Nothobranchius furzeri: one gene and its partners. The protein of the gene in region 3 purifies or fractionates together with the protein of the main gene of each other region. This does not show direct contact. Links are inferred from orthologs where the notes say so. Each region holds a gene or a part of one and is shown on either strand. Other genes may lie near its edges. The genes, in order: nup85, nup160, spast, nup107, nup133 and nup43.

Region 1 (5,116 bases), about 53 Mb from region 3:
ACTGCTAAGTTAGATTTTGGGACATATCAAATAAATTCAGCTGGTGGTGTGAAATGAATAGGGCGATTTTCAGCATGATTTGTAATTCTGATGCTCAAAATTCTTCCCACCTGCCCATAAACCAATAATCACTAATTCAAAGAATCAATAACAAATTGATAATTTAGGAATTTTTATCTACAAAATTACGAATTTCAAGTAAACAACAATAAAACGACGATCATAGTTAACTGAAATAAATCAGACAAAATTGGCATTGGTCCTCAAAATCACAATCTGTGCGTCTCCACTTCTACAGATTTGTTATCAATAAAAATAACTATTATTACTATTAACAATAACATTATTATATTAATCAAAATCATTTGTCACAACTTAATGCAACCCAAAGTTGGATCTTTTACTTTAATATTAATGTAACAGAAGTTTTAAATATTAGTAAATCATGGCACAGAGTGAATGAAGATTCTGTAGTTGTAAAAATGTGACCTTTTTATTTTTAAGAAATATGAAACTGTTGAGTGCAGACAAAAATGTTGCACTAATTTACACAAGCTAGTTGAAATCTTTTTCCCAGATCAACACAAACTCACATGACTTTTGGACTGAGGACGACACCAGCTGGTCGTCTGTATGTTATCAAGAGGAAGGAAGGAGAATGCGCGCCTGCGGATGCGCGCTCACAAACCTTCCGGTCTATCAAAGTAGCAGCTAGGTGAATTGTATCAAGCAACTTTAAAATGGTCTGTAACGCAACATGCGGAGTTGTGCTTCTTCCTTTTAAGTTCCTACATTCCAAAGCGGGTAAAAAAAACTCAGTCGACATAATGGAGACACTAACCTTTGGTTTTTCATCAGCCATGGTCACTCTTTTGGCGCTTCTCTACGCTGCCACACAAAGAATACGAGCACGCGCACGTACTCGTGCCCGTTTAAAATAATCTTGCAAACGTGCGCGACCCTGTATCCGTGCGCGTCCACCTTGGCCGACACTCATTTGCTTAAATTGGTCACGAGGTGAAAGCGCGGTCTGGTGATGGGCGGGAGAGTCCCGCGAGCGCGTCACAGAGGCGCTATAATCCACATGCACGCGCACAGCGATGTTTTCCCTTTTGCTTTAAGCTTTATGAACGTAGACATTATCAAATGAGACAGTTATTGCGTGAATTACTTCACGTCTGCGTCGGGAAGTTTAGTCAACATCCCTCTACTGCGTGGTATCCAAACTTGGAAGACATGATACCCATGTTACTGGTCTTATCCCTGTTTACCAGCGGCCATCTTGTTTCACTAAATATGCCTAAAAGCAACTTCAGTTCAGTTATAGGTTATAGGATATTTCACAGAAGTGCTCTTTATAAACATTTTCCAGTGGGAATGTTTGTGTTTTTGAGTGAATTAATATTAAAGGTAAATCTGACTCCACATAACCACATTTTATTGCGTAATCATGCGTTACGAATTATCTAATTCCAATGTATATGAGAGGGACAATTTTATTTGCTTTATTAACAGCAGTCGATTAAAAAACAGGCATTAGAAAGGGCAGCCCTTCGTGACGCATGCGCAATAGTGGATTTCAAGCACCCATGAACCACGGCGCGTAATAGCAGATGAGAGCATCACATGTATTTAATGTATATTTTGTAGCTGAATAGTTTGTATTTTATATTTTCTTTGCATCAGAAACATTATTACCAGATGGAGGAAGTAGACGTTGAGCCGGTAGTTACTGTAAGTTGTCTCTTGTGTGTTTTTACCATGGTTTTTACTGCTAATAGCCACTCTACTGCTAACAAGCTAGCGGAACCGCAACAACCTTCTGAAATCACGAAACCAACAATTTATTTTGGGTTTAGTAAAACGCGCAATAAAGGATAATCACTGTGCGAGTGACTTCAAACGTAGGTGAGGGAAGTGTTATTATTAGCTTGTAAACGCCTGTACGAGTTGGTTGATGTGTTTGTTATATGGTATTCATTAGTTAAAAATGGGGCAACATTGACATTCTTTATAGTTTGAAGTGGGTCAACTATTTAATAATACTAATTTTTTAGAAATGCAAGGTTTTGCTTGATTAAAGTGTTTAATAAAATATCTCTTTGTACTTCATAAAATGTTGTGTTTTTTTAAATGCAGAATATTTCTGGAATCAGACCTGGGAAGCGTATGGGATTTGCATGGGGTCCTGGTGATATACTTGTGTATGAGACACAAAACAAAGCATCAGGTAGAAGGAGTTTTTAAATCAAAGTCCTGCCTCAAGTGCTTTTTTTTTAACTGTATTTTTGATGCATTTTGTGTAATGTGTTTTCTTTGTTTCAGGACCTACAGGGTCAGGTTGTGCCTTCATCCACGTGGTGCGGAAAGACGAGGACATCTATTCCCCCATCTTAAGAAAACTTTTTAACGAGTCGCATCACATCTTTGTTGGACTGCAGACAATCAAAGATGATCTCCCAAGCAAGAGCAAAAAACCACAGTAAGAAGGCTCCACGGGGTCCTCCACCACTGTACACCCTGCTTTTAAGTTAAAATGAGCAGATAAATGTTACTTATGATAACTGAGATTTTCTTTACAGGTTTGTAAGCATCAGCAGAAACTACAGGTCTGTGATTCGAGCCTGTATGGAAGAGCTTCAGCAAGCTGCAGGTGAGCTGTCTTGAATTTTACTAAAAACATGTTCTGAGCAATCTTATGCAAGAATAATAAACTCCATTATTATGCATTTTGTACAGTTTCTGCAAATGACACAGATATGGCCACACAGTACGGAAATCAGGCATGTACTTAAAATGTTTTGTCTTGGAGTTTAACTAAATATATTCACCATGCAGTTAGTTCATGACGTAAGGTCCTAAGTACACATGACATAACATTTTTATTCTCTGGTCCATTTTTCTGATGTCCATCTGATTTTTCCTGTCACAGGTGTCCATCCTGTTGGCCATAGAACTGATCTGGAATCTGTGTGAAGTGCTTTTCATTGATGCTGCTCCAGGTCAGAGGCTGATTAGTCTTAATTCTTCTTTTTCTTTTCGGAAAACATTTTTTCTTAGAGTATTTGACTTTGAGATTATGAACACACGCTCAAAAAACAATGCAGTGATGTGTGTGTGTCTTCTCAGCTGGTTCCCTCCTACTACACCTTCTGGACTGGGTGAGGTTACATAAATCCGATGTGGATGAGAAGGCGAAGGGGGTGCTGCAGAGTGACAGCCCTGCTGAGCATCGTGACTACTGGGATGTGGTATGTGCTGTAAAAACCCTCTTAGATCATTTATTTAATCCCTGTTCTTTAAATAATATGTTCTTTCCTGACAGACTACAGTGGGAGATCTCATTTTTTGCGTTTTGTGTGTTTCAGGTTTTAAGTTATGTGCTACAGGGAAGGTTGGAAGACACTAGGAAGATGCTGATGAAACAGGCGATGCTGCAACCTGCTGCCAAGAGCATGTACAAGCTGATGGATAGCCTGCTAAGCAAGATGCCCTTCTATAATGTGAGCACCATGTATTTTACCACATTTTCTGTTGTCTCAACAAAAAGCCTAAAATGCTAAAGTTGACCTGACATTTAAAAGACCCTAGTCTTTCACCTTGGCCTTTTGGCTTAGTTTTTCTTAATAGCTTTTGACATTTTCTGAAATAGATCAAATGTTTTTTGTATTTAAAGTTTGTAGCGACTTCACACACCTAAACACGATGCACCCAACACAAGAAAATCAACCCTTCCCCTAAAGTGTCATATTTCAGGAGTCTTGTATCTAAAATTTTCAGCAGTTTACCATTTTATTTAAAGACTAAACCAGTTTTGTTATTGTTGAAATACAGTTGGTCACTCGGGTGAGTTTAACATGCAGATCTTCTACCCCTTCTTCCTGCATTAGCCGTCAAATCAAACTTTATTTATATAGCACTTAATCATACAATGCATGTAACTCCCAAGTGCTTAACAAATTAAAAAGGCCCCGCATACCCACATTCCCTCCCATCCCCAGAATTTTAAAAAGAGTCTGAGAATAAAAACCCCTTCACAACACTCATTGTCCGGCACACATACACACATGAAACATACGGGGAGCCAATGCAGTGATTCTAAAACTGGAGTGATGTGCTCCCGCTTCCTGGTCTTCGTCAGGACACGTGCTGCTGAGTTTTGTAATAGTTGTAGACCTGAAGTCCTCTTTTTAGGAAGACCAGAAAGCAGGGCATTGCAGTAGTCTATCCTACTGGTGATAAAAGCATGCATTACTAGCGTCTCCGTATTGGCCCGAGAGAGAATGGGGCGGACTCTGGTGATGTTCTTTAGATGGTGAAAACCTATTTTTGTGATATTTTTAATATGATGGCGCCGTCTGTTGTGGCTTGCCGTCTGGTTTGCCGTTTGTGCTTTTTGTACTTTTGTCACTGTTTTTGAGTCTCCCAGTGGCTGATTCCTGTCCCACCCTCACCTATGACCGAGCTACTCTTCTGGATCTCCGGCAGACTTCACTATGCCTCATTCAAGCAATCGTTTGGGAACCTGTTTGATGGAGTTCCGCCCTTCCTCCTGTCCTCCGCCTGCGACCTGGTGGGGCCGCGGTGGAAGCGGCGCGGCAGGCGTAGTGGCGCTCATGTCCAGCTCTGAGCTTCCCGGGTGTGCCAGTCCAGTGGCAACGTTTCTTCCCGGGTTTGGGTCTGGTTCCCTGATGATTTCTCGGAACACAACATCCAGATTCTCCACAGGCATGACAGCGATCCAGGGGTGGACCTTTAAAGCGCCCGAGCGCCAATGGCGCTAAATTTTCTCGTCGGGCGGTAAATACTTGACGACTTACCGCCCGGGTGGCGCCCAAGCTTTATTTATCATTTACACACCGGCTTTCACCTACATCATGGGCCCGCCCTGTAGGAAGCTGCCGTTTTCGTTTCGCGCGCGTGAACCTGCGCGCCTCTAGCCACGTACTGCACTTGTACGATTCGTGCACGTACTGCACGATTCTAGTTATTGTCACGTGAACTATAAGTTCACTATTAAAGACGAAGTGGAACCACGCTAGAAACACACAAGCACGCAGGAAGATCGCGCCACCACAGGGATGGGATTTCTTGATGAAATCTCCGGCAAAACGCT
Region 2 (3,366 bases), on a different chromosome or scaffold from region 3:
TGCAGGTAGACATCGGGTGGACATTCTGGAGCTGAATGATCTGGAGAGGGAGTACTTTCTGTCTCGGGCCCGCCTCTCTCTTGCACAGCACCACCCACCATCTGCAGCTATTGCAGGTAGTTGTGCACCTTGTGTAGGTCGTGTGTATTTGCACACATCACTGAAACCTTGTTCACACAGAGTTTTAGCCTGACCAGCTGGGAACTCTTGTATTCAAATAACCCCGCCCCCTGAGAATTCTAACTGAGCCAATCAGCGCTGAGCAGCGTACGTCACACACCATGTTGCTCATTTTCTCAAACATGGCGTCTGAAGCAGAGTTAGGTGCAGGTCTTCCCTCTGTTCTAAATGACTTGAACGCGTCTTTAAAACCAAAACAATTAGAAGCGCTAAAAGCTTTTCTTCTAAAGAAAGATGTTAATGCCATCGCCAGATGCCATTTTTGACTACAGCTTACAAAAACTACAGCATCACTCAGCATTCGGTGTGAAACAAGCTTAAAGGTCTAATATCATGCAAAATTCATTTGTGGAGGCATCATCATAAATATACTGGACATCTCCTTTCCATAGGCTCCAATATCACGTTTTTGAGGCCAAATGGGAGGTGGCCACCGCCGCCATTTTGACCGTGTCACAGGTTCCGTCAAGCCCAGACAATTCCAAAAAAAGGGAAGAGAGGTGGAGCTGAGGGTGGGGCTGTAAGGCTGGGATCAACTGATGACACCCGGTCGAACTAGCTACAAGCTAACCCAAAGCTAACACAGAGGTGGGAGCTAAGCTAACGGAGGTAGCAACCTAGCTACAACCGGAGTTAACTGTGCACAACACCAGAGCTTCTGAGTCAGAGATACGCCGGGCTGACCGCTGGGTAAAACCGGGTGGAACACAGAGGTCTCCGAGAGCTCCACAAGCCGGCAGCCGCACAGCAGACAAGCGCCGCTGCGATCTGAGATGCGCAGAGCTGCCGCTGGGGAGAACCGAATGGAAAGGTTTCCATCCCAGAGCTCCACAAGCCGACAGCCCGCGCATCAAACAGAAGCCGCGATCAGAGATGCGCCGAGCTGCGGGGAGGGGATAAGGGTGGAAAACATCGGTCTCCCGAGAGCTCCACAAGCCGATAGTCGGAACCCAGCTCCACCAACATGTTATATTTCAACCCATTTTCTAAAGTGCAGCATTATGTTAAATGCACTGGGTTTTACCCTATTACATTTAAGTTTCATGGTTAAATAGTACATGTTAAATCTAAGCTCAGCTCAGCAGTGACCTAAAATACATAAATATAATTTTACTAACCGAAAAAAAGGAAGTGGAGACTCCTTGGACGCTCTATTAGTGCAATTAATGCCACAGCAAGTCGTTTTGTCCAACAATTGCACAAAAAATATCCAAAGAAGAATACACAAACACAGAGACTCAAAATCCCGGAACAGTTTCCAAGCCAGACCGAGGCTCTATGGTAAATGGTAAATGGCCTGTATTTGATATAGCGCCTTCTAGAGTTCTTGAAACCCCCCAAGGTGCTTTACAACACAATCAGTCATTCACCCATTCACACACACATTCACACCCTGGTGGGGATGAGCTACAATGTAGCCACAGCTGCCCTGGGGCGCACTGACAGAGGCGAGGCTGCCGAGCACTGGCGCCACCAGTCCCTCCGACCACCACCAGCAGGCAACATGGGTTAAGTGTCTTGCCCAAGGACACAACGACAGCGACAGACTGAGCGGGGCTCGAACCTGCAACCTTCCGATTGCGAGGCGAGCACTTAACTCCTGTGCCACCGTCGCCCCTACTCTACTGAGGCCTTTCCACGGAGCTACCTCTGTGGTCACGTGGGTCTGATGTTCATTAATTATACAGAATTTTAGGCTTTTAATACACTTAAACAGAAGAGTGAGAAAAAAATTCACCCCCCTCAGAGTTGTCATGAGTGTAAACTAGATCATTTAAACAAAAAACATGTTCTGGTACCAGGCTGTAAACATGTTTATTTCTGCTGTGAAATTGGTATTTTTAACATGGGAGTCTATGAGGATTTGCTCGCTTCTGACACCAGCCCCCAGTGGATGAGGGTGGAACTGCAATTTATTTCACTTCCGGGTTTGCATCAATTTTAGAGCCGCATTGTGGGGGCTTGGTCAGAGGCATCTGAGGAGAGAGGGTAAATAACCTTCGGTGGAATAGCTCCTTCATCACGTTACAGCACATTGAATTGCCTCTGTGGATGAAATGTGCTATATAAATAAAGCAGCCTTGCCTTACTATGGATTTCACATTTCTGCTCAGAAAGGACTTCACGATCCGTACTGATGTCCACAGACATTTATTTTCTTCACACAAATCAGAACATTGTGGTACATCGTGAAAACTAAAAGAAGACAAATATCATAATTATACCTCTTAATCATCAATAATAAATACAACATTCAAAAACAATATTTACCGTGTGCTTCTGTTTGCAGGCAGTGTGTCTGCACCAGAACTGGTCCTCCTCCTGGCCCAGACCGGACTCTTCGACTCAGCCCTTTCTCTCAGCCAAATCTTCAAACTGGATCTGAGTCCAATCTTCGATGCTTTAACCTTCAAGTGAGCCCAGGAGGTTCCTCACTTACTCTTCCCCTTCCATTTTGTTTCACTTCCTGTTTGCTTAACCCTACTCTTTATCTCAGGTGTATCCAGCTGCAGTCTGGGGGGGAGGAGTCTCAGAATGAAGCTTGGAGCTGGTTGGCTGCTAATCAGCTGTCAGTTGTTACCACCAAAGAGTCCAGGTGTGTTGCTTAGCCAGTAGTCATGTTATTGATCATATTCATTAATTAGTCAGAGCCCATTTGTGTTAACCTTCCCTGACTTTCTGTGCTCAGTGCCACTGATGAGGCATGGCGACTGCTAGCCTCTTACCTGGACAGGTATCCATCTACCAATGGACAGTATCATCGCCATGTCATTCACAAGCTGCTGCAGCATGGTGTCCCCTTGCCTGATTGGCTGCTGCAGTCATACAAGGTGAGAGGAGGCAGGGCCGTACAAAGTGGTGATAATATATATAAATCATATCAAACACCAGACCATTTTTATCATTTTTACATTAAATACATTTCATCATCATCACTAAGAGGAAAGTTTGATGTCATGGTGAATCAGTCATCATTAATTCATCCTTAAAACCCAGATGTGGACTTCTGTTGAGCCCTTTTCAGATAGACATTCTGGAAAATTGGCAGACAATTCAATCCGGTTTTTAACCGGAACTGTGTTTTCAGACACACCACTTTTGTACCGGAACTTGTTCTTTCGGCTGCCTTCACACAGCAGGGAAAAGTTCCAGATGTCTGGGGTGGGGTAGAATCGGACTTATGTT
Region 3 (5,078 bases):
TATGAACTGGGGGAAGGGGTACAACATGAAACTCCAGTTTTCTGCCCAGCCCAACCCAGTCCTTTGTTTCATGGCTGAGAACATTTCACAGTTAAGGAAGTCGCAGTGAGAAACCAAAACGATCACAACAATTAAAACAGCTTAAGCTGGTTTAGCTTTGGTTGTTTTCTGGAGTTGTCGAGTTAGCGTGTAGGCCAGGGAGGTCTAATATTAGCCAAGTTAGCTCTGAATAGCTATAGCCTGTAACAAATTTGTCCAACAAAATCCCGCTTTATTTTATTCTTTTGCGGCATGATCAACAATAAATGACCACAAAACACACATGTTCCTCGTGGGATGACACAGAACAGGCTGTCAGAAGCTGGTAAATGTTAGCTAACCGGCTTTTATTTGAATCATCTAGATTAGCATGACATCGTCGGCTTTAACAGCCTCCTCGGGCAATATACGAAGAGAAACGTTATAAACCCAACGATGTTTAAAGTTTTACTAAATAAAGCGACAGACAAAACCAACGAGGCATGCTGACATACAAAGGAAAATAAAAAACAACAACAGCTAGCGCTCGGTGTGCTAACGCAAAGTGCCGACAGTTACCCGAAGCGGAGTACCAGCTCCCGGCGTGACTTGCTTCTCTGCACACCACTCGATTTGACATCTTGGTTCCCAAGCCGCCTATCTTGATTTCCTTAACTTCTTTATAGCAAAATAAAAATAAAACAGAACTGCAAAAACCCTGCGTTAGCTAGCTGACAGATGAAATAACGCCTGCTAGCTACCTTGCTCGAATAGACAAAGGGCAGTCCGGCTGTCGAGACAGCTGGGATAGCAAGCTCACTGTACTGGCCCCTGTGTTGTTATATTAATGTCGATGGTTGTTACCGGTTAATAAGTGAAGTTAGTTTGTTCGGCAATCTGGCGATATAACTCCTTATAGGCACAAATAAAACAGTATTGCGCCGACAACAAACACTAGCTAGCCCAATATAAAACCTTTAAACTGTCACAGTAGGTATTTGAGGATTACTGAGACTTCTTTTGCTAGCCAGGTAGAAGGGGCGCGGCTAAAACTGTTGTCGAAGTGATGTCACGTCTTATGATTGGTGAATTGATTTTGTAGGGAAACATCATTGGTGGGAATTGGAAAGGGGCGGAAACAAGTCCAGAATGGTTGTTTGGTTACAAAACGTTGGGCCGTCAAGTGAGCTGTGGTGAGCACACATGGCAGAAAATGAATCATACAAGCTTAACGTTATGGTTGAAACCAAAACAATTAAGAATCTAGATGCTATCAATAACAGCTGTCGACACGTTTGTAATGCATCATTATAATGTCTAAAGGTTTTTCTCAAATTTCTTTCATGAATTGTCATTTGAGTTCAAAATCTTTTCTGATTTCTTCTGAGTTGAAAATAGCAGTCATTGTTTTGAATGACATGTGAATTCGTGAAAATTAAAAAGAACATTATGTACAAGTCAAGGAAAAATAACGATATATAACGATATATATAGTGAATATATATAGTGAAACTATTATTATTATTATAAATATGGTTAAATGTTTCTAGTAATTACTTTACAAATTGGTGTTCTATAATCACACAAAAATGGGTAAAATGGTAACGAAATCGGTGGAAAAGCAGGCGGAAACCTGTTTTTTGCAACAAATATTATTTATTATATTTTTATTTTAAAATTTGGTTAGAAATTTTGACTGTAAAAATGGAAAACGACACAAGACAATGTTTCTCCACTACGGCAGGGGGCGCTAGGAGTTTACACCAAAGAGAAGATGCGGAAGCGGGCGGAGTCTGTTGTTTGTGTACAAGGGAAAGCGGAAGTTAGCGGTAGCTGCTTGCATGGACTCTAAAAACAAAAGAATATCACAGTGAAGGGTTAGTTTACTAAACATATACCGATGTTTCGCCACCTTCGCATGTTTTTTAAATGCTAAATGTATATTTCCCTTCTTAGAGAATTTGTAACAACCGCGATTAGGGAGGAAGTAACGCATCAGTAATGTCGGCTAAAATAAACGCAACTAATAGCAGCGGAGAACTTATTAAAAACTATCATAAACAGGCGTTTGAGTATATTTCGAAGGCACTGAGGATCGACGAGGATGATTCAGGTTGGTTTATTTGTTTGAGTATCGATCAGCGGATGTTTTGTGTGACAGTTTGTTATAAACGCCATCATGTGATAATAGTGGCTAAGGGAGAAGCTGTGCAGTGGTACAAGAAAGGAATCGCTGAGCTTGAAAAGGGTATCGCCATAGAGATTACTGGAACAGGTAGAAACGTTAACACTCCTCTGTTCCGTGATGTTTTGTGTTAGGAACATTTAGCCATGAATTCTGTGTTGTTTTGTCAGATGATCGATCAAAGAGGCTGCAAGATAAAATGGTTACCAATCTCACCATGGCGAAAGACAGGCTTGCTTTGTTAGGTAGGTGTCATTTGAGCTGACTAACACCCTGCTGGCATCAAAGCTAAATAACCTATTTTCCTGTTCTTTCCTCACAGAGGCCACATTGGCATCTAAAAGCAAAAACAATCCTCTGTCTGGCTCAAGCCTCCCTAAGCCTAAAAGCCAGCCTTCAGCTTCAGGGTTGTCCACTAACTTTAGGCCCTCCACTGCTGCCAGACCATCACCAAGACCTGCTGATGCAAAGGTGTTTTGATTCTTCACCATGTAAAGTGTAATCACGTGATACTGAAGGGTTCACGTTGTGTAATGATTTCTGCTTAAATCAATTCAGGTGAACCCCAGGATGGGAAAAGTCCCAAATGGAAGACCTGTGAAGCAACCCCCAAAGAGGGACATGAAACACTTCAAAAATGTGGACAGCAAGCTGGCCAGCTTGATTCTTAATGAAATAGTTGACAGGTATTCATAACAAGATAATAATGCTTTTGCAATCTGCAAAATACAGAATTAAATAAAGATGCTACATTTAAAATGTGCTCGGCAGGGGAGCGTCTGTATCTTTTGAAGACATTGCTGGACAAGATCTAGCTAAACAAGCACTCCAAGAAATTGTGATCCTTCCTTCCTTAAGACCGGAGGTTACGAGCTTTACTATATTTCTGTCTTCATAAAGCATCTGTGCTTTAAGTGTTTAACCTGACACCATCTCCTATGGTCTGTTTAGCTGTTTACAGGTCTGAGAGCACCTGCACGTGGTTTGCTTTTATTTGGCCCACCTGGAAATGGAAAAACCATGCTGGTATGTAGCGCATCCATTTTAACACAACAACCTTGATTGCTTGTATGCATGTATCACCATCCTGCTGTTATTAGCTGAATTACAGATGCTATTCCTCCTTTCCAGGCCAAAGCAGTCGCTGCAGAGTCTAATGCTACTTTTTTCAACATTAGTGCAGCTAGTTTGACATCTAAATATGTGAGTAGATTTATAAATTGCTTACTTTTCTGCAGCCACACTGTAATCTGTGGTGTTTTCAAATGTTTCTTATCACTGTCACAGGTAGGAGAGGGCGAGAAGCTTGTACGAGCTCTCTTTGCAGTTGCAAGAGAACTGCAGCCTTCAGTCATCTTTATTGGTCCGTAGTACTGTCTTCCACAGTTTAACTTTGACATCTTGGTTCATAAATTAACCTTTTAATATCACTTTTAATTCTTAGACGAAGTGGACAGCTTACTCTGTGAGAGGAGGGAGGGGGAACACGATGCCTCTCGTCGCTTAAAGACAGAGTTCCTCATCGAATTTGATGGGGTAAGAGTGTCAGGAATTTATTCTTGAACACCTGAGAACACACCGGTGTCATTTTCACATCTGCCTTTCTGGATTTCAGGTGCAGTCAGGAGGGGATGACAGGGTTCTGGTCATGGGAGCAACTAACAGGCCTCAGGAGCTTGATGAAGCAGTCCTAAGGTAAGCAGTGCAGCCATACGTGATTGTTTTATGTTTGATTTAAAAATATGTCACTGCTACTGATAAATGTTTATCTGACAGGCGCTTTGCAAAAAGGGTGTATGTCGCTCTGCCAGATGAGAAGGTAATTATCACCCATGCATGTTTTTTTTTTTTTTGTTTTGTTGCAAGATGCTTTTTGTTTCCTTTTTAAAAGAAGTTTTCTAACTCTTTAGACGAGACTCACTCTGATGACAAACCTTTTGGGCAAACACGGGAATCCACTGAGCTCGAGCGAGCTGTCTTGCCTCGCAAAGTGAGTGTCCTGCTGCTGTTACAATGCTTCATGTGTTCGTAGAGGCAGTAGAAACCCACATGACAGCATAAAAATATGCTAAAAGTTAGATTTGTATGTATGTCCCCTTTAAGCTGATATAAATAAAATGTTGTTAACTGACAGAGCGACTGCAGGATATTCAGGAAGCGACCTGACGTCATTGGCCAAAGATGCAGCTCTTGGTCCTATTAGAGGTAGGACTGATTAATCAATTAATTTCTGGCAACATTTTTACATTTTTAATGGGAAAACCAATGAATTTTATGTGAACTTGATCTCTTTCAGAGCTGGGACCAAACCAAGTCCGCAACATGTCAGCCAGTGAGGTGAGAAGAAGGAAAACCATCAGATTGGCTTTTGTAATTACACAGTATTAAATATGTGTAATTACACAGTATTAAATATGTGTAATTACACAGTATTAAATATGTGTAATTACACAGTATTAAATATGTATTCATTCACTTTTGTTTTCTATGTTCTCAGATGCGTAACATCAAGATGAAAGACTTTGAGGATTCCCTGAAGCGCATTAAGCCCACCGTTAGTCCCTCTACTCTAAATATGTATAGCAAATGGAACAAAGATTTCGGCGATACGACAGCTTTTTGAACTTTGCTTTTTACTTGAAAAATAAAATAAAATAAACGTTTCTTTAGTTAAACTGAGTGAAACTATCAAAGCACTTCTCTTTTTGTTGGGTGTGGCTATATTATATGAAAAAAATGTGACATTTGGGATTATTATAGGAAAATTTCCTGTTTTATGGAAAGGTTTTCCTTTGTCAGTTCTTACAAACAAATGTAATCGCACTCCTTATTCGTCTTCTTGCTCTGTAAAAATCTGTTATTTATTCTTTAAAAA
Region 4 (4,525 bases), on a different chromosome or scaffold from region 3:
ATCTGCAAGGACAAGGTAAGTCAGGAGGAGCTTAAACACACCCTCTGAGGGCCTTTATCAGGATTTATTAGTTCCATTAGTGGTGCATTTAGGCATTAAAACTTCTGTTTATACCTGCGTCCACTCACTGTGAGGGTCATCTTTTAAGCAGTGGGGTATATTTTGAAATATATGCCCCACTGCTTAAAAGATGACCCTCACAGTGAGAAAACTTAATTTTCTGTAAATTATTTAGATTTCTGCTGCCATGAATAGCAATTATTCGTCATATGTTTTCCACATTTCACAAAGTGTTAAAAACATGACAGGACAAGGAATGAGGTCCTGCTTCAAGTGGAGGAGTTTAAGTATCACAGTGAGGGAAAGATGGAGCGTGAGATCGATAGGCGGATTGGTGCTGCGTCTGCAGTGATGCGGGCGTTGTACCGGTCTGTCGTGGTGAAGAGAGAGCTGAGTCAGAAGGCGAAGCTCTTGATTTATTTTTTGATCTACGATCCTAACCTCACCTATGGTCACGAGCTTTGGGTAGTGACCGAAAGAACAAGATCGTTGACACAAGCGGCAGAAATGAGTTTTCTCTGCAGGGTGGCTGGGCTCTCCCTTAGAGATAGGGTGAGAAGTAGAGCCCTGCACTGAAGCCCTAGGCCCGGGGGTCGGCCCGGCCCGAGGGCTGGGCTTCGGGCCGACGACTGTGTAATTACCTCGGACACGGGCCGGGCGCCTTTATTTTTAATCAAATTCATAAAAAAACCGGAATCACTTGAACGCAGCAGCACCTGCCTGCGTCTCACGCACCGGCACCCGTTAGCTCAGTTAAGGTCTGTGTGGTTTATAAATGCGCCTATTCTCAAACAGCTGATTGAAACATGTGCCCCTGTTCTAATATGCCATTTTATGTCCACTTTGATGTCAGAAACCATTCGTTAATTCTCATGAAAACGGCAGCGTTCTATTTTTCTGTGAATAAATTCGCTCCGCAGTTAAAAAAATACAGCATTCACTGCTGTATTTTTTTCTAACTGGAGAGCGCATTTTCAGAGCGGCAGATTCAATTTACAAACGCTTATTGGGGGCGTTTATCTAATCTGCCGCTCTGAAATGCGCTCTGCAGTTAGAAAGTTAGAATGCTGCTTTTTTTCTAATTGCACAAGAGCGTGTTTTCAGAGCAGATTAGATTTACAAACGCATCCGATTAATATAGCGTTCGTAAATTTCATCTGCCGCTCCAAAAATACGCTCTGTTAGAAAAAAAGCTGCATTGATGCGTTTTTTTTTTTATTTTACTGCAGAACGCTTCTCACAGATAATTAGAATGCTGAGCATTCTTTCACGCTAAAACATTATGAAAGGTAAAAAAAAAAAAAAAAAAGTCTGGCTCGGGTCGGGCCAGAGAATCCTGAAAACCTTTTCGGACCGGGTCGGGCTGGGGCTCCACCTGCTCGGGCCGGGCCGGACACGGGCTCAGATTTTAGGCCCGTGCAGGGCTCTAGTGAGAAGCTTGGTCATCCGGGAGGGGCTCGGAGTAGACCCGCTGCTCCTCCACATCGAGAGGAGCCAGTTGAGGCGGCTCGGGCATCTGGTCAGGATGCCTCCGGGACGTCTCCCTGGTGAGGTTTTCTGGGCTCGTCCAACCGGGAGGAGACCTAAAGGTAGACCCAGGACACGGTGAGGGGACTATGTCTCTCACCTGGCCAGGGAACGCCTTGGGGTTTTTCACCCTTGACCCATTTTCATGTCTGATAAATCTGTTTAATGTTTCGGATCACCGTCAGAGTAAATGTACCTGTTTAAAGGGATTTTAAAGAACAAGCACCACAAAAGTGAAGTACTCTGTCAGGAACATGGGGAATAATCAGGTCACTGATGTATGAAGGAGCCTGACTATTAAGAGCTTTCGATGTGAAAAGGAGGATCTTAAAATCTCGTGCGAGGTTCTAGAAGTTTCAAAATGTGTCCTAAATAAACCTGCTACCATCTCACCTCCTCCAAAATGTGCTTCCGCCAGGTCCAAAGTTTTACGTGAAGTTTTCCTGTATAATTCGCAAAGTTTGTGAGGAAAGTAATTGCGCAGTTTTCAGACCCTGTTCTGTGCGTAGGTGAGCTTTCTGATGAGGCCCCTGAGCACCGGGAGCCCAGAGCTAACAGGATTGGTTTCCTTTAAGGTGGATGTGCTTCAGTCGGTGGTGCTGAGAGCGGGTCAGAACAGTAAAACGGCAGGAGTCTGCTGGCTGCTGCAGCAGGAGAGCTGCACCTGGAGACTCGTTGCTTCACTCTACAGGTATCACGTCTCACTGGTCGAGCGAAATCCACCCGTCTGTCTGTCTGGTGGTGCAAACGTCCACCCCTCTGTGTCTAATTCACCTGCTTGTCTCTGCAGAGATCGGGTCCAACTGGCGCTGGAGGACGACATGATGACTGACGTGGTTGTAAGTGACTTCAGGTTCTGCTGTAGTCTTTCTGCTTCTGTCTGTCAGCAGAATATCATTTCAGCTGAGCTGAAGTTTCTTGTGTGTAGCTGAGAGTCGTACTCATCACTGTCCAGCATCACTTCCAATGTTTAACTAGAAATCCATTTCTCAACATCTTACTATAAAACTCTAAATCAGGGGTGTCCAACTCATTTTAGCTCAGGGGCCACATTGAGGGAAATCTAGTCCCAAGTGGGCCGGACCGGTAAATTAAAAACAACTTCAGATTGTTTTCTTTGTTTTAATACAATCATTATAAAACAAGGCTGGAGCCCGAGGACAGTGTATCCAAAATAGTACAAGTACAACACCTGAAGTGTACTTGAAAATTTGAAAAATAAATAAAAAATAAAATCAATAAATAAAAAAAAATTCCTTAGTGATTCAAAGAGCTTACAGATCACATGGCTAGATCAGTTTAATGCAGCACTTAAAGTATATTTGACTCATTTTACTTTACATCTTTTAGCTTTCACCAGCACATCAACATCAGAAGTCACAGCCTGAGTGGCGGCCATCTTCAGGATGTGATTCAAGTTCTTGTGTGAGCCTTGAGCGCAGCTTTGTTTTATTTATACTCATTACAGAGAAAACTTGCTCACAAAGATAAGTTTATTTTCACTCTACATTGTAAAGTATGAAAATAAAGTTTACACAACCATCTCGCGGGCCGGATCCGACCCACGGGCCGCATAGGCCGCATATTTGACACCCCTGCTCTAAAGGAAGCAGGCGGCGTGCATCCCAGTAACGACTTTAATTTCTTCATATTTTGATTTCACTGAGGAAAATATTGGCTTATTTCTGCTAATCTAATAAATAATCTGAAGAAATCAAACAAGTGGAGGACAACAGTAGAATCAGGCCTAAATTATTGTGTTTAGGTGGGTGAACTTTTTCTAAAAATCACAACTTAACTCATTCACTGCCAGTGTTTTTCAGCCTTTTTAGCATTTTGTTAAGAGCCACAGAAGGTTGAGCGCTAGCATGATGTCGACGCCAAAACAACCAAAACAAAGCGGAGACTCACCTCTTACATCAGGAAGAATCCGCGTGTTTCGAGCGTTATCCGTTCTTTCATAATCCGTTGTTGAATTGTGATCGGCAGAAGCTTTTCTGGTTCGCGCCTCACTTTTTTTACAGCAGCGGCCCAAAACGATCTCCTAACACATGGATGTTCTGCTTCCTGATCACGTGAAGTGTGACGTACGCGGATGAAGATCGGCTTTAGAGCTGAGATGTTTGTTCTCACAGTGCGGGGGCTCGTCCGACGCCCACACAGTAAAAACATGCAAATGACGATTTTGGTCGTCAATAGCACTGAACGAGTTAAGGAAACCGAAATAAAAAGAGCAAAAATCTTGACTCAGACCAAAGTGATTAATCCTCTCTCCGCTTACGATTACGGGCTAAGTTTTCATCCAGTGGCTCTGTAACCGGATTACAGGATACAATAAGATAATTAAAAGAAAAAATAAACAAATGGGCCAATAATTAGGTTCGGGGAGAATTGGAGGTTGTTTAAGAATGACTGGAGTCACGGGTATAGCATGAAACGGTTTATATACTAAATTTTAATAATAGTGGGAGATATAACACATAAAGATAACACATAAAAACAGATGAAAACAATCGACAATAGTAAAATGGTCGGTATGAGATTTGATCATATGAGTCACAAGTCAGCCGGCGTCAAGTCAAATCCCCACGCTTGGGGTGAAAGTCAGAGTCCGGTGGTGCGATTTTTTCCTACCACACCGTTGAGATTGTTCACAGAAGAGAGCAGTCTGCTCTTCAGTTACTTGAGATGTCCTGGTTCGTTCAGTGGTTAAGGCTCGCCATCTCCCTCGTCAGGAAGAAATCCAGTTCTCGTTCCAAGTGAGTGATCATAGGAGTCGGGATCAAACCCAAGGAAAAAAAAAAACCCAGCCTGTAAACAACAGGACTGTTAGCAAGTTGGCATCGACCCTTCTCGTCACATCACAGCATAAAGTCTTACAGACTTAAACAAATGCTTCACTCTATTGGCATAGCCAATCATGTTTGGGTTCACAGTT
Region 5 (4,525 bases), on a different chromosome or scaffold from region 3:
ACGCTGCCAGATGAGAAAATCAACTTTACCTCACCAGGTGAGAGAGGGCAGCAGCCATGATTTTTACCTGCCATTTCATCTCAGACAGCGATTGTTACATGAGGCCGCACGCTGTTAGGAAAACGCACGCCTGTCTCATTATCAGTAAATATTAATAATGAACGGTAGGATTTTGGCCTGTGATATAGAATTACTTAAAGAGCAAGTCACCCCCTGCCAGATTCTTACTCAACTCCCTCTTCATGTTTGAAAAATGCAACAAATGCTGTTGCCTTGCAGACCGAGAGGGCGGAGCCGCAAACCAATACACACACAGGCTCACAACCACATTGTGACATCATAAGGACCAGTTTACATCATAGTATACCTCTTAGCCAATAGCAGTGGCAGATTTAGGCCCTGTCCACACGTAGCCGGGGATCTGCCAAAACATAGATATTTTTCTACGTTTTGGCCTGTCATCCACACGAAAACGGAGTTTTTTCACACGAAAACGGATCTTTTTAAAAACTCCGGCCAAAGTGAAGATCTGCGTTTTCTCCGTTTTGGGTGTCTGCGTGTGGACGGACAAAACCGGAGTTTTAAGGTCCGCAACGTCACTTTCCGCGACAAAAACATGCTGACATCACGTGTGCGACCTGTGTTTACACTAGCCGACATCATGGATGCCCTCAGAGCTGCGCTCGCTTTATCAATTGTCCAAGCGCTTTCTGCTTGTTTGTTTTTGCAAGCGGAATTACTGCTCCTTGCGGAAGACCACAGACGAAGGACGAGGTTAAGAACGGGGGAAGTACTGCCGCCTACAGGTCTGGCATGTCCTTAACAACGTATTTATCCTGGTACGTGTGGACAGGTTTTTTGGAGGGGCGGATATTCGTTTAAAAAAAACCCGGCTACGTGTGGACTAGGCCTTAAATTCAAATGCAGTGCAGAGTTTTTACCTGACGACGGCACAACACTGACAGTTTTAGGCAGAATATTTAAATTTTAACTAAGATGCACTGAAGTACCAAATTATTGACCACACGTGTCTGCAGCACGATTAGACACGCGTTTATGTAGTTTATCAGCAAAAAAAAGTTGATTTGGGGGGGTGACTTGCTCTTTAATACCGGCTAACTGGATGCACTTGCTGATTGTGAGTTTGTGGAATGGTGCGATAGCAACTGTCTGGATTTAAATGTCACAGAAACAGATTTTAGACGTTCCACACCGTCTCTCCCCGGCAGTAGCGTCATGCATGGCAGTGTGCTTGAGGTGGTGAATAAAGACAAATACGGTTCTTGGATTGACACGAATACAGACTCCATTTTTAAACGTGGCCAGCAGAGAATTTATCTTTTAAAGAAATTCAATTAATTTTAAGTAAATAAAAGGTTTCTATACAACTTTTATTGCTGCTTCATAGAGAGCCGTTTAACGTTTGATTCATTTGCCGGTACTCAAAAATACTTTATTAATCCCAGAGGGAAACTGATTAACTTGATTGATCTGTCGGTGAAAAACAAGAACAAACTGCAAACATCAAAATCTGCTCTAAAATCACTGGAGTTAAACAAAGAGACCTTTATGGGAGGAGCTAGAGAAGGTTTCTCTGGCTTCGTGCTGTTGGTGTGCACCGCGGTGGTCAGACCGCCACCGATCAACTGATCTCAGTGCAGCTAAACAAAAGTAAAGAAACTAGATGAACCTCCCACCTTATTGTAATGTTATTGACATAAAACGCAGCAGAGCGTCATTTTACCTGCAGGCATTTCTAGGCACATCCAAGGTGTTGAAGGGATCTGTTTTGGTGGCCTGAGGATCAGGTCTCTGCTTTTTGCGGATGATGTGGTCCTGTTGGCTTCATCAGAACATGATCTTCAGCTTTTGCTGGAGCGGTTCGCAGCCGAGTGTGAAGCAGCTGGGATGAGAATCAGCTCCTCTAAATCTGAGACCATGGTCCTGAGTCGGAAAAGGGTAGAACGCCTTCTCCGGGTCAGGGATGAGGTCCTGCCCCAAGTGGAGGAGTTCAAGTATCTCGGGGTCTTGTTCACGAGTGAGGGAAAACTGGAGCGTGAGATCGATAGGTGGATTGGTGCTGCATCTGCAGTGATGCGGGCGTTGTACCGGTCTGTCGTGGTGAAGAGAGAGCTGAGTCAGAAGGCGAAGCTCTCGATTTACCGGTCGATCTACGTTCCTACCCTCACCTATGGTCACGAGCTTTGGGTAGTGACCGAAAGAACGAGATCACGGATACAAGCGGCCGAAATGAGTTTTTCCCCACATGCCTAGGGCACACTGACAGGAGCAGTGTAGGAAAACATGACTGAACTGTGTGTTGACGTCTGTGTTCAGGTGATGGCATACGTGGAGGAGGCCACTGCGCCAACCTGCCGGTGTTTTTCTCTCTGAACAGTGGCCTGGTAGTGGTCGTGGCCAGAGAGAGTGCTTCCATCCTGCCGGAGACCATGGAGGACTCGCTGTGCTCCTCCCTGGCTGCAGCCCCTGAGGTGACTCCAGCTTTGCGCTAAGAAATTAAAATACACAATCTAATCTAGCCCATGGATGTAATTTTGGGGGGGGGACAGGGGGGACATGTCCCCCCACTTTTTCCAAAGTCAAGTTTTGACCCCTGCACTTTTTACCATCCAAAAACAATATTACGTTATATTAAATTGACACTGGTTGAGCTCTAGGACCAAGCAGAAAACAACCGTTTGTGTTGAAGCCTGTTTCCTATTAGAGCATACTGTAAAGATACCCCCATGCCCCCCCACTTCTAAAGTGAAAATTACGTCCATGCTGTAGCCTAACAGTCTGTTAGACCAGCCTGACCTTAGACGGTGTCTGGTAATTCTAAAGTTAAACATCTTTTTAATGTTTAGACGGTTCAAATCTGGGAACGTCGATGCGATTCTGTAACAAGACGAATGAAATACATCCTAAAAGTAGCAGATGTGACTGAAACGTGTGATTGTCCACCTTCTTGTGCAGTAATTCCATTTTTGCTGTTAAAGGTTTCTGCCGTGGAGACTCCAACCAGGAAAGCGCCTGTGGGCCAGGAGGACAGGACCAAGCTGCTGAAGGCTGCCTTCCTGCAGTTCTGCCGGTGTGTAAGACGTACCTTTGAGTGGAGCGACAACTACTGGACTGGCTCTGGTCATTCTATTAGATGATAACCTTTTGTTCTCCTCGTCAGTAACGACCTGGTGGGAGCGCAGACGGTCACTGATGAGCTGTTCCCTGCTGACGGGGAGGCTGGAGCTGAGCTGGACAGCGTCGTGACTCGGATCAACCTGGACCTGATAGATGATTACCCAGCCTCAGACCCTCGCTGGGCTGAGTCTGTCCCAGAAGGTGGGCTCTCTTTGCTTTGCAAGTCATTTCAACCCCTGAATGAAATCAGATACGACTCAAAAGTCTTCTGTTACCAGCTCTGGTGGAGCACCGGGGGCTGGGCACCGTTTCCATTTGAACGATTCCGGTTCTTATTGATTCTTGATTCCAATTCTTTCAAGAGTCGTTGTCCAAAACCTTTACATGTTTAACTGAGCCTGCTGACCACAGGTCTTACTTGATGAAAGTCTGAACTTCTGCAGGAATTTGAAGGAGCGTCTCTGATGAGAGGTGACCATAAACGTCCGGCTGTTTGAGTTAAAACTCAGGATGAGTGAGAATCGACAGCAACGACTCGGGTAGAGTGGAACACTTAAACGTAGCTATCAACAGGCTACATGGAGCAGAAATAAGGTGTTTGTTTGCATTTTCGCTGCTGGGAAGGGATGGAGGAGGGAGATGTGACGCCTCACACCTCCGCAGGCTGCAGAGTAAGAGCAACGGGCTCCCCAAGGCGTTGACTGTAATTTCACGGTTTTTTCCACGGAGATCGGCGGCTGAAGCCACACTTTAGCGCACCTGCACACACACTTCCAGCGGATGCTTCTTTGTAGGTATTCGGCTACACCTTCCACCGGTCGGTGGACCGATGATCAACGCTAGCAGTTGAAATTTGAAAACATTAAACAATTCTGGGGAAAAGTTGCACGTAGTCCTGGTTCCAATCGATGCTCCATACTCAACCCTAGGGTTGTCACAGTGTGAAAATGTAACCCCACCCACGGTTATTGTGACCAAAATTACCACGGTTTTCGGTTTTATCGCGGTATTTTTTTTAAACGTGCTACATTTTCACACAATTAAATAAACCCTGTATGTCAGGAAATATTGTCCTCAGTTTGTGTCTAAATTTTGCCTAAAATGTGTTATTTTGTAATGATGTTGTTTATTTGTTTACATTTTTCCCCTTTAGTCTTTAAAATACCAATATTTGCCCATAACTTCTTATTTTATGTCTGTTTGATGTCATAATTTAAAAATATTAGATCAGATGATACTCAGTACTCAAGTAGCCTTGTAATCAGATACTTTTTTACCCTTACTTGAGTAATAAACCCTATATCAGGAGAATATTGTCCTCGGTTTGTGTCCTTCCAGTGAGCTTTGCAGATGTGGGAAAATGTCATCAGGCAGTAATCATTGTTAA
Region 6 (5,074 bases), on a different chromosome or scaffold from region 3:
TTTCAGTGGTTATATTACCTTTTAGACATGTCATCAAGGTCCAGAGAAACCTGTTAATCAGGTGTGTTGAAACAGAAATGTCTAAAATGTGCTGGATTGTTGTCCTGGAGAACCAGGAAATGACACTGTATGTCTTTTAGCATACTTGGGATCCACCGATACCACTTTTGTCCAAACCGATACGATACTGATACTTGGATCTGAGTACTCGCCGATACTTCTACCACACAAATAATGCAATGAATTGGAATACAGGTTTTATTTTCTTCTCTGCTTTCAACAGGAAAAGATTGTGAGGTAGATAAAAAATAAAATATATTCATAGAAATGATCACAAAACTGAAATATTAGGTGAACAGAAATGACAAGTTATGGTGAAGCCACTTTCAGGCAACTGCATTGGTATCGGTTCCTGGTTTCGGTTGACTTTTACATCCCTACTTCTATGCCAGCATTACAGTTTTCTTTACTTCATAGTTTGTCTTTTTGACAGGCTGGTTACATGAATAAACTTTTATTAATTTAGAATATAAAAAAACAAGATCTGAACTGGTAACTAGATATAAACTGGAAAAATAGGTCGTGTCTATAAGCCCAGAAAGCCAAGCTGACGCTAGGCACACCCTCCTACAAAATTCTCAAAATTACTCTGACTTTTTTGTTTGATAATTTAAAACACATTTTGCAGGTTGTAATGTGTGCAAACAATAAAGAAACTGTTTTGATTTCTGCAGATCGACTAAGGTTGATCGATTTCTTATTAAAATATTGTGAAAGGATATTAAATGTCCATGGAAAGACATCAGCTAAAATATATGCACAGAAATTTGAAAATGTTCAACAATCAGGCTTCTTAAATGGAAATGAGTCGTGGGCTTTGGCACAGAGCTATGTAGCTAACAGCTGCAGTGATACAGCAACTTGTCATTATTTAAATGTATCCGAGTATTAAAGCTCAGCAGAAACTATCCGGACATGTACAGCTGTTACTGTCATTCACATTGAAGTCCAGTAGAAGACACAGACATCAATGACAGTGGGCAGTAGCATAAAATCTCAAATGACGCACATACTGCTAACATGCTAAGCTAACTTCCCACAGGACACCACTTTTCTGCGATTTACAACAAAACGGAAATGTCATTTCTGCTGGGTTTTTCCCCCCTGCTGTGACAAAAGCGTTGCCTTGTCCCACACATGGTCCCACAGCGAAAAACGTGGTTTAGGAAAAGGGGTGGAGAGGCGGGAGGAGACGCTGGGTCACCATAAACATAGCTTGCTAGTAGCTACCGCTCCTAAGCTAACCCCAGCCTCCAAACTACAACGTTTTCTGGCGACGCGGCGGTGAAGTTCATCGCTGCTGCCGCTTTAAACCTGCAACCGGACTCACTGCGAAGGTTGTTGACAAGCTCTGCGTGGCTGGCTCCTCCAGATTTCCAGGCCATTATTAAGCAGACTTTACGGAGTAAGTAGACAGCAGCTGTAAGTGCCGCGCCTGCGCCAATAGTTTTACCAAAGAAGCTGACAACCTCCAGAGCAGACGGCGTAGCGGCGGATACGTCACTAGACATCCAAATGATTTTACAGAGCAGAGCCGCCTCTCAGATGCACGACCAAGCAGAAAAATATGTCATTTTAGAATATAATTAATCTGTTCATGATGCATCAAAGTCAGCGTCAGACGAAAGGGAATAAAAGCCACGTTCCTCAGCCATGCAGTGCTTTATCAGGTTTTTGCCGCAGTAACAACGGAGACGACCGCTAGGTGGCGGAATGTACAAATTCACATTTCTTGCGAGAAACGCAGATCAGATTGTTTGATCCTGTTGAGCCACCGTACTTACGTTTAAAGCTAGTGGGTGCGTACATAGAGCTAAGCTAACATCAATAAGAATATTTTTCGTATTTAGGCAGCAGAAACGTTGGTTGTTCTCATGGAGAGTGCTAAGTACGTGTCCCAAAAAGTCAGCAAGGCCAGATGGCGTCCTGTGTCGTCTTCGTTTTTACAACAACCAGAAATCTTTGCGACGGGATCGTGGGACAACGAGGTTGGCTAGTTGAATATTTTTGGTGAACCAAATTTACCCAGTTTTTCAAATGTTCTGTGTTTCTCCTGATTATGCACACTTACACGTTGTAACTGTCAAAAAGGATTTAACACTTGTTACACATAGTTTGCTTTTTTGTGTGTCTGTCAGGTTCGTTTTGGTCATTTTTTTTGCAAGGATGTGGCCTTTATTTAAAAAAAAAATTATTTCTGTAGGAAAACAAGATATCTATTTGGTCCGTGGGTAATTACGAAAATTCGGGCCTGGAAGATGGATTTGAAGGAGATCCGCAGCTTATTTGTGAAAACAAGCACGATGGAGATGTTCTTGGCCTCCAGGTAAGACGCTGTAACAATAATGTCATAACATACTAATAATGCAATTATTCATCACCATCAACTTTATTTATAAAGCACTTTACATCGACCAGAAGACAGACCAAAGTGCTGTACGCACTTTAAAGAAATTAAAACAACAATGAACCCTGCAGAGATGCACATAAAAACAAATAAAGTACATTTTCTGCGCATTTCAGAATTTTGCTAATACAGAAGGCAAATCTGTTGTTCTATGCATCAATAGTTTTGTTTCTTTGTAGGTCTGCAGGATTTCTCAGTGCACAGCCTTGTTATAGTCAGCAGGAGGATTTGCAACACAGACTCATTTGTTTTGCAGCCATTCTGTTGAAATTTTGACACGTGCGTGGGACATTGTTTTGCATGACTCAGTTTTAGTCGAGCTTCAGCTGTCCAATTCCTCCAAATTAGACTTGATTATACTACTTGATTATAGTTCCTGGATCAAGAGAGAATCGTCACGGCCTCATCAACGGGAGCAGTCACCATCTTCCGCCACCATCACAACAGTCAGGTGCAGTAGAGCTTTCATAAAAGATGTCAACTCCTGTATGAAGGTTGTGTTGCTGCCTTTGCTGTTTATTTATAAAATCATTTTTTCTTCTTACATCAGACAATCTCAGTTTCCCAGCAGTGGGTGAAAGCGCACCATTACCCCTGTGACAATGCTCCCTGCACTGCAGTTGTGTGCAGCAGCCCTGAGATCATCACAGTTGGGGAGGACGGCAGGATTATTGTCCTCAGAGCCGACCAGGATTGTATGGCTCAAGTCATAGGTGAGATTAAACCACCCCATTCAGAACTCTGTACACTTTAACTCGGTGTCAAGTCAACATGCTTTTGCGGGTACATTTGGTAGAGAATGCTGACAGCAGCACGATTCATGCTGTGACTTACCTGAGGACGACGGAGATTTTGACTGTGAACTCCATCGGACAAATAAAGCTATGGGATCTAAGACAACAGAGCAACTCGGCATCACAGATTCTGTCCTTGTAAGATCCGCTTTAGCACGTTTTCCCCATTTTTAATTCTACTATTTTGCTGATGTATGTGGATTTTAATTTTCCTCCAATCAGGTCAGGAGACAGAGTTCCTTTGTACTGCATTGACAGACATCCAAACCAGCAGCACATTGTAGCCACAGGAGGCCAGGATGGAATGCTCTGTATGTGGGATGTGAGGCAAGGCAGCATGCCCTCATCCCTCATGGAGGCCCACTCAGCTGAAAGTAAGATGTACATTTTTAATTATTTAATGGACATATAATTTACACACATATTTAAATATTTTTCACTTTTTTAATGCTTTTTGTCTAACTTTCCTGGCAGTGTGGGAGGTCCACTTCCACCCTACCAACCCAGATCACCTGTTCACGTGTTCAGAGGATGGATCGCTGCTGCACTGGGAGACGTCCTCCCACTCAGACATGCCCTCCTTTCTACAAGGCAAGTCCTATTCATCATAATAATCATTATTATTATTATTATTGGTATTCAGTTTAAAAGGCTGCCTATGTACTTCTTCTATTTTCTTAATTATAAAGATTCTATGGAAACACAAAAGCCATAATCAAGAAAATATCCAGTTGAATGTTTTACTGAAAGTTTACATTATTTAGGGTTAAATAAACAAAGAATTTCCTGATAATGTCCAACACCAGGTCAGTCTATTAAACATTGTCATGTTGTACTATTTGTCGTAATTTCACTGTAAAAAGTGTTATTGTTGTGTTTCCAGGTAGCAGAAACAGCAGCGTGACCTCTCGCAGTGCGATGGCCCTTGCTGGAGGAAACCAGTCCCTCATCAGTGCCTGGCTCAACGGAGACTCCAGTAAAAGCCGCCTGGAGACGACCCACATGCTGCCCAGCCAGACGCTGTCTGTCAACAGCTTGGATGTGCTTGGACAGTGCTTAGTTTGTGGAACTGATGGAGAGGCTATTTTTATCAACAAACAGGTCCCAGTTTAAAAGATCTGGAGGTGACTAATAAATACATGAATGCAAATTTTAATTTGATGTTTTGTGACACATTGGAAGACTTTTTTTTTGTTACACAAAAAGCCAATATACCTACGCAATGAAAGACCTCTGTGTCTGATGCAATGCTTCATTCTTTGCAGTGACAGAATATGGATTAGTGTTTTTGTATGTCATTCTGTACACAATTGTTCAGATTAATAATGTTTTGTACAGATTACTTAAAAAACAATAAAGAAATAAAATGTAACTTTCTCAAATTGTCTCAGGATGTTACGTTTTTTTATACTGACAAATCAAGTAAAATTGTAAATCAAACCTACCAACATAAAAATGTCAAAGTCAGCCTTGTGAGCTCTTATGTTGCTCTGTAAATTTACAAATAGATGTTATGTGCTCACCCAAAGGGAAATTGATTTATTTTTATACATATTAATGCTCTTATTTTTTTATTTCTAAGATTTGTGCTGTGAAATGTGTTTGGACTTCATTAACAGGTTAGCAAAAAAAAACTTATAAAAAAAAGCATTAAAATTTTCTTCATTAGTTTTATTAGTGTTATTTTGTTCTAAACTTAGCAAAAAAGTAATTTCTCCACTGACTTTTATTGTGAAAGTCCAGCGTCTGATGGTGCGTCGTTAGCTTAGCTGTTGTACTTGTCATTCAGATATCCCAGGAATTCAACAAGACT

Evidence for each region.
Region 1: the proteins of spast (region 3) and nup85 purify together in Homo sapiens (affinity purification with mass spectrometry; 3 studies listed by BioGRID and IntAct, counting the BioPlex papers as one, with this or other methods). This does not show direct contact. The link is inferred for Nothobranchius furzeri from reciprocal best matches to the Homo sapiens genes SPAST and NUP85.
Region 2: the proteins of spast (region 3) and nup160 purify together in Homo sapiens (affinity purification with mass spectrometry; 3 studies listed by BioGRID and IntAct, with this or other methods). This does not show direct contact. The link is inferred for Nothobranchius furzeri from reciprocal best matches to the Homo sapiens genes SPAST and NUP160.
Region 4: the proteins of spast (region 3) and nup107 purify together in Homo sapiens (affinity purification with mass spectrometry; 3 studies listed by BioGRID and IntAct, counting the BioPlex papers as one, with this or other methods). This does not show direct contact. The link is inferred for Nothobranchius furzeri from reciprocal best matches to the Homo sapiens genes SPAST and NUP107.
Region 5: the proteins of spast (region 3) and nup133 purify together in Homo sapiens (affinity purification with mass spectrometry; 3 studies listed by BioGRID and IntAct, counting the BioPlex papers as one, with this or other methods). This does not show direct contact. The link is inferred for Nothobranchius furzeri from reciprocal best matches to the Homo sapiens genes SPAST and NUP133.
Region 6: the proteins of spast (region 3) and nup43 purify together in Homo sapiens (affinity purification with mass spectrometry; 3 studies listed by BioGRID and IntAct, counting the BioPlex papers as one, with this or other methods). This does not show direct contact. The link is inferred for Nothobranchius furzeri from reciprocal best matches to the Homo sapiens genes SPAST and NUP43.

The regions. Positions count from the first base shown.
Region 1 is NC_091752.1:54,263,032-54,268,147, forward strand, and holds the start of nup85 (nuclear pore complex protein Nup85), read left to right. Parts: upstream 1-1,567; 5' UTR 1,568-1,701; coding exon 1,702-1,734; intron 1,735-2,139; coding exon 2,140-2,230; intron 2,231-2,325; coding exon 2,326-2,482; intron 2,483-2,582; coding exon 2,583-2,653; intron 2,654-2,739; coding exon 2,740-2,783; intron 2,784-2,932; coding exon 2,933-3,002; intron 3,003-3,129; coding exon 3,130-3,251; intron 3,252-3,368; coding exon 3,369-3,503; intron 3,504-5,116. Other genes in the region: small ubiquitin-related modifier 2, read right to left, coding at 842-862. UniProt on the Homo sapiens protein: Essential component of the nuclear pore complex (NPC) that seems to be required for NPC assembly and maintenance. As part of the NPC Nup107-160 subcomplex plays a role in RNA export and in tethering NUP96/Nup98 and NUP153 to the nucleus.
Region 2 is NC_091744.1:79,810,607-79,813,972, reverse strand, and holds part of nup160 (nuclear pore complex protein Nup160), read left to right. Parts: coding exon 1-116; intron 117-2,470; coding exon 2,471-2,594; intron 2,595-2,677; coding exon 2,678-2,776; intron 2,777-2,869; coding exon 2,870-3,011; intron 3,012-3,366. UniProt on the Homo sapiens protein: Functions as a component of the nuclear pore complex (NPC). Involved in poly(A)+ RNA transport.
Region 3 is NC_091752.1:1,588,079-1,593,156, forward strand, and holds the start of spast (spastin), read left to right. Parts: upstream 1-1,802; 5' UTR 1,803-2,019; coding exon 2,020-2,131; intron 2,132-2,209; coding exon 2,210-2,293; intron 2,294-2,373; coding exon 2,374-2,448; intron 2,449-2,525; coding exon 2,526-2,674; intron 2,675-2,761; coding exon 2,762-2,889; intron 2,890-2,974; coding exon 2,975-3,068; intron 3,069-3,154; coding exon 3,155-3,229; intron 3,230-3,334; coding exon 3,335-3,406; intron 3,407-3,490; coding exon 3,491-3,566; intron 3,567-3,647; coding exon 3,648-3,739; intron 3,740-3,818; coding exon 3,819-3,898; intron 3,899-3,979; coding exon 3,980-4,022; intron 4,023-4,113; coding exon 4,114-4,193; intron 4,194-4,337; coding exon 4,338-4,408; intron 4,409-4,499; coding exon 4,500-4,540; intron 4,541-4,700; coding exon 4,701-4,826; 3' UTR 4,827-5,078. Other genes in the region: protein MEMO1, read right to left, coding at 598-658. UniProt on the Homo sapiens protein: ATP-dependent microtubule severing protein that specifically recognizes and cuts microtubules that are polyglutamylated.
Region 4 is NC_091741.1:38,092,220-38,096,744, reverse strand, and holds part of nup107 (nuclear pore complex protein Nup107), read left to right. Parts: coding exon 1-15; intron 16-2,162; coding exon 2,163-2,278; intron 2,279-2,377; coding exon 2,378-2,426; intron 2,427-4,525. UniProt on the Homo sapiens protein: Plays a role in the nuclear pore complex (NPC) assembly and/or maintenance. Required for the assembly of peripheral proteins into the NPC. May anchor NUP62 to the NPC. Involved in nephrogenesis.
Region 5 is NC_091747.1:67,783,760-67,788,284, reverse strand, and holds part of nup133 (nuclear pore complex protein Nup133), read left to right. Parts: coding exon 1-37; intron 38-2,337; coding exon 2,338-2,492; intron 2,493-2,999; coding exon 3,000-3,091; intron 3,092-3,181; coding exon 3,182-3,339; intron 3,340-4,525. UniProt on the Homo sapiens protein: Involved in poly(A)+ RNA transport. Involved in nephrogenesis.
Region 6 is NC_091742.1:11,413,916-11,418,989, reverse strand, and holds nup43 (nucleoporin Nup43), read left to right. Parts: upstream 1-1,714; 5' UTR 1,715-1,934; coding exon 1,935-2,048; intron 2,049-2,263; coding exon 2,264-2,386; intron 2,387-2,840; coding exon 2,841-2,918; intron 2,919-3,017; coding exon 3,018-3,180; intron 3,181-3,263; coding exon 3,264-3,399; intron 3,400-3,483; coding exon 3,484-3,635; intron 3,636-3,735; coding exon 3,736-3,856; intron 3,857-4,144; coding exon of another isoform or gene 4,145-4,148; coding exon 4,149-4,374; 3' UTR 4,375-4,643; downstream 4,644-5,074. Other genes in the region: pcmt (protein-L-isoaspartate(D-aspartate) O-methyltransferase), read right to left, coding at 1,391-1,571. UniProt on the Homo sapiens protein: Component of the Nup107-160 subcomplex of the nuclear pore complex (NPC). The Nup107-160 subcomplex is required for the assembly of a functional NPC.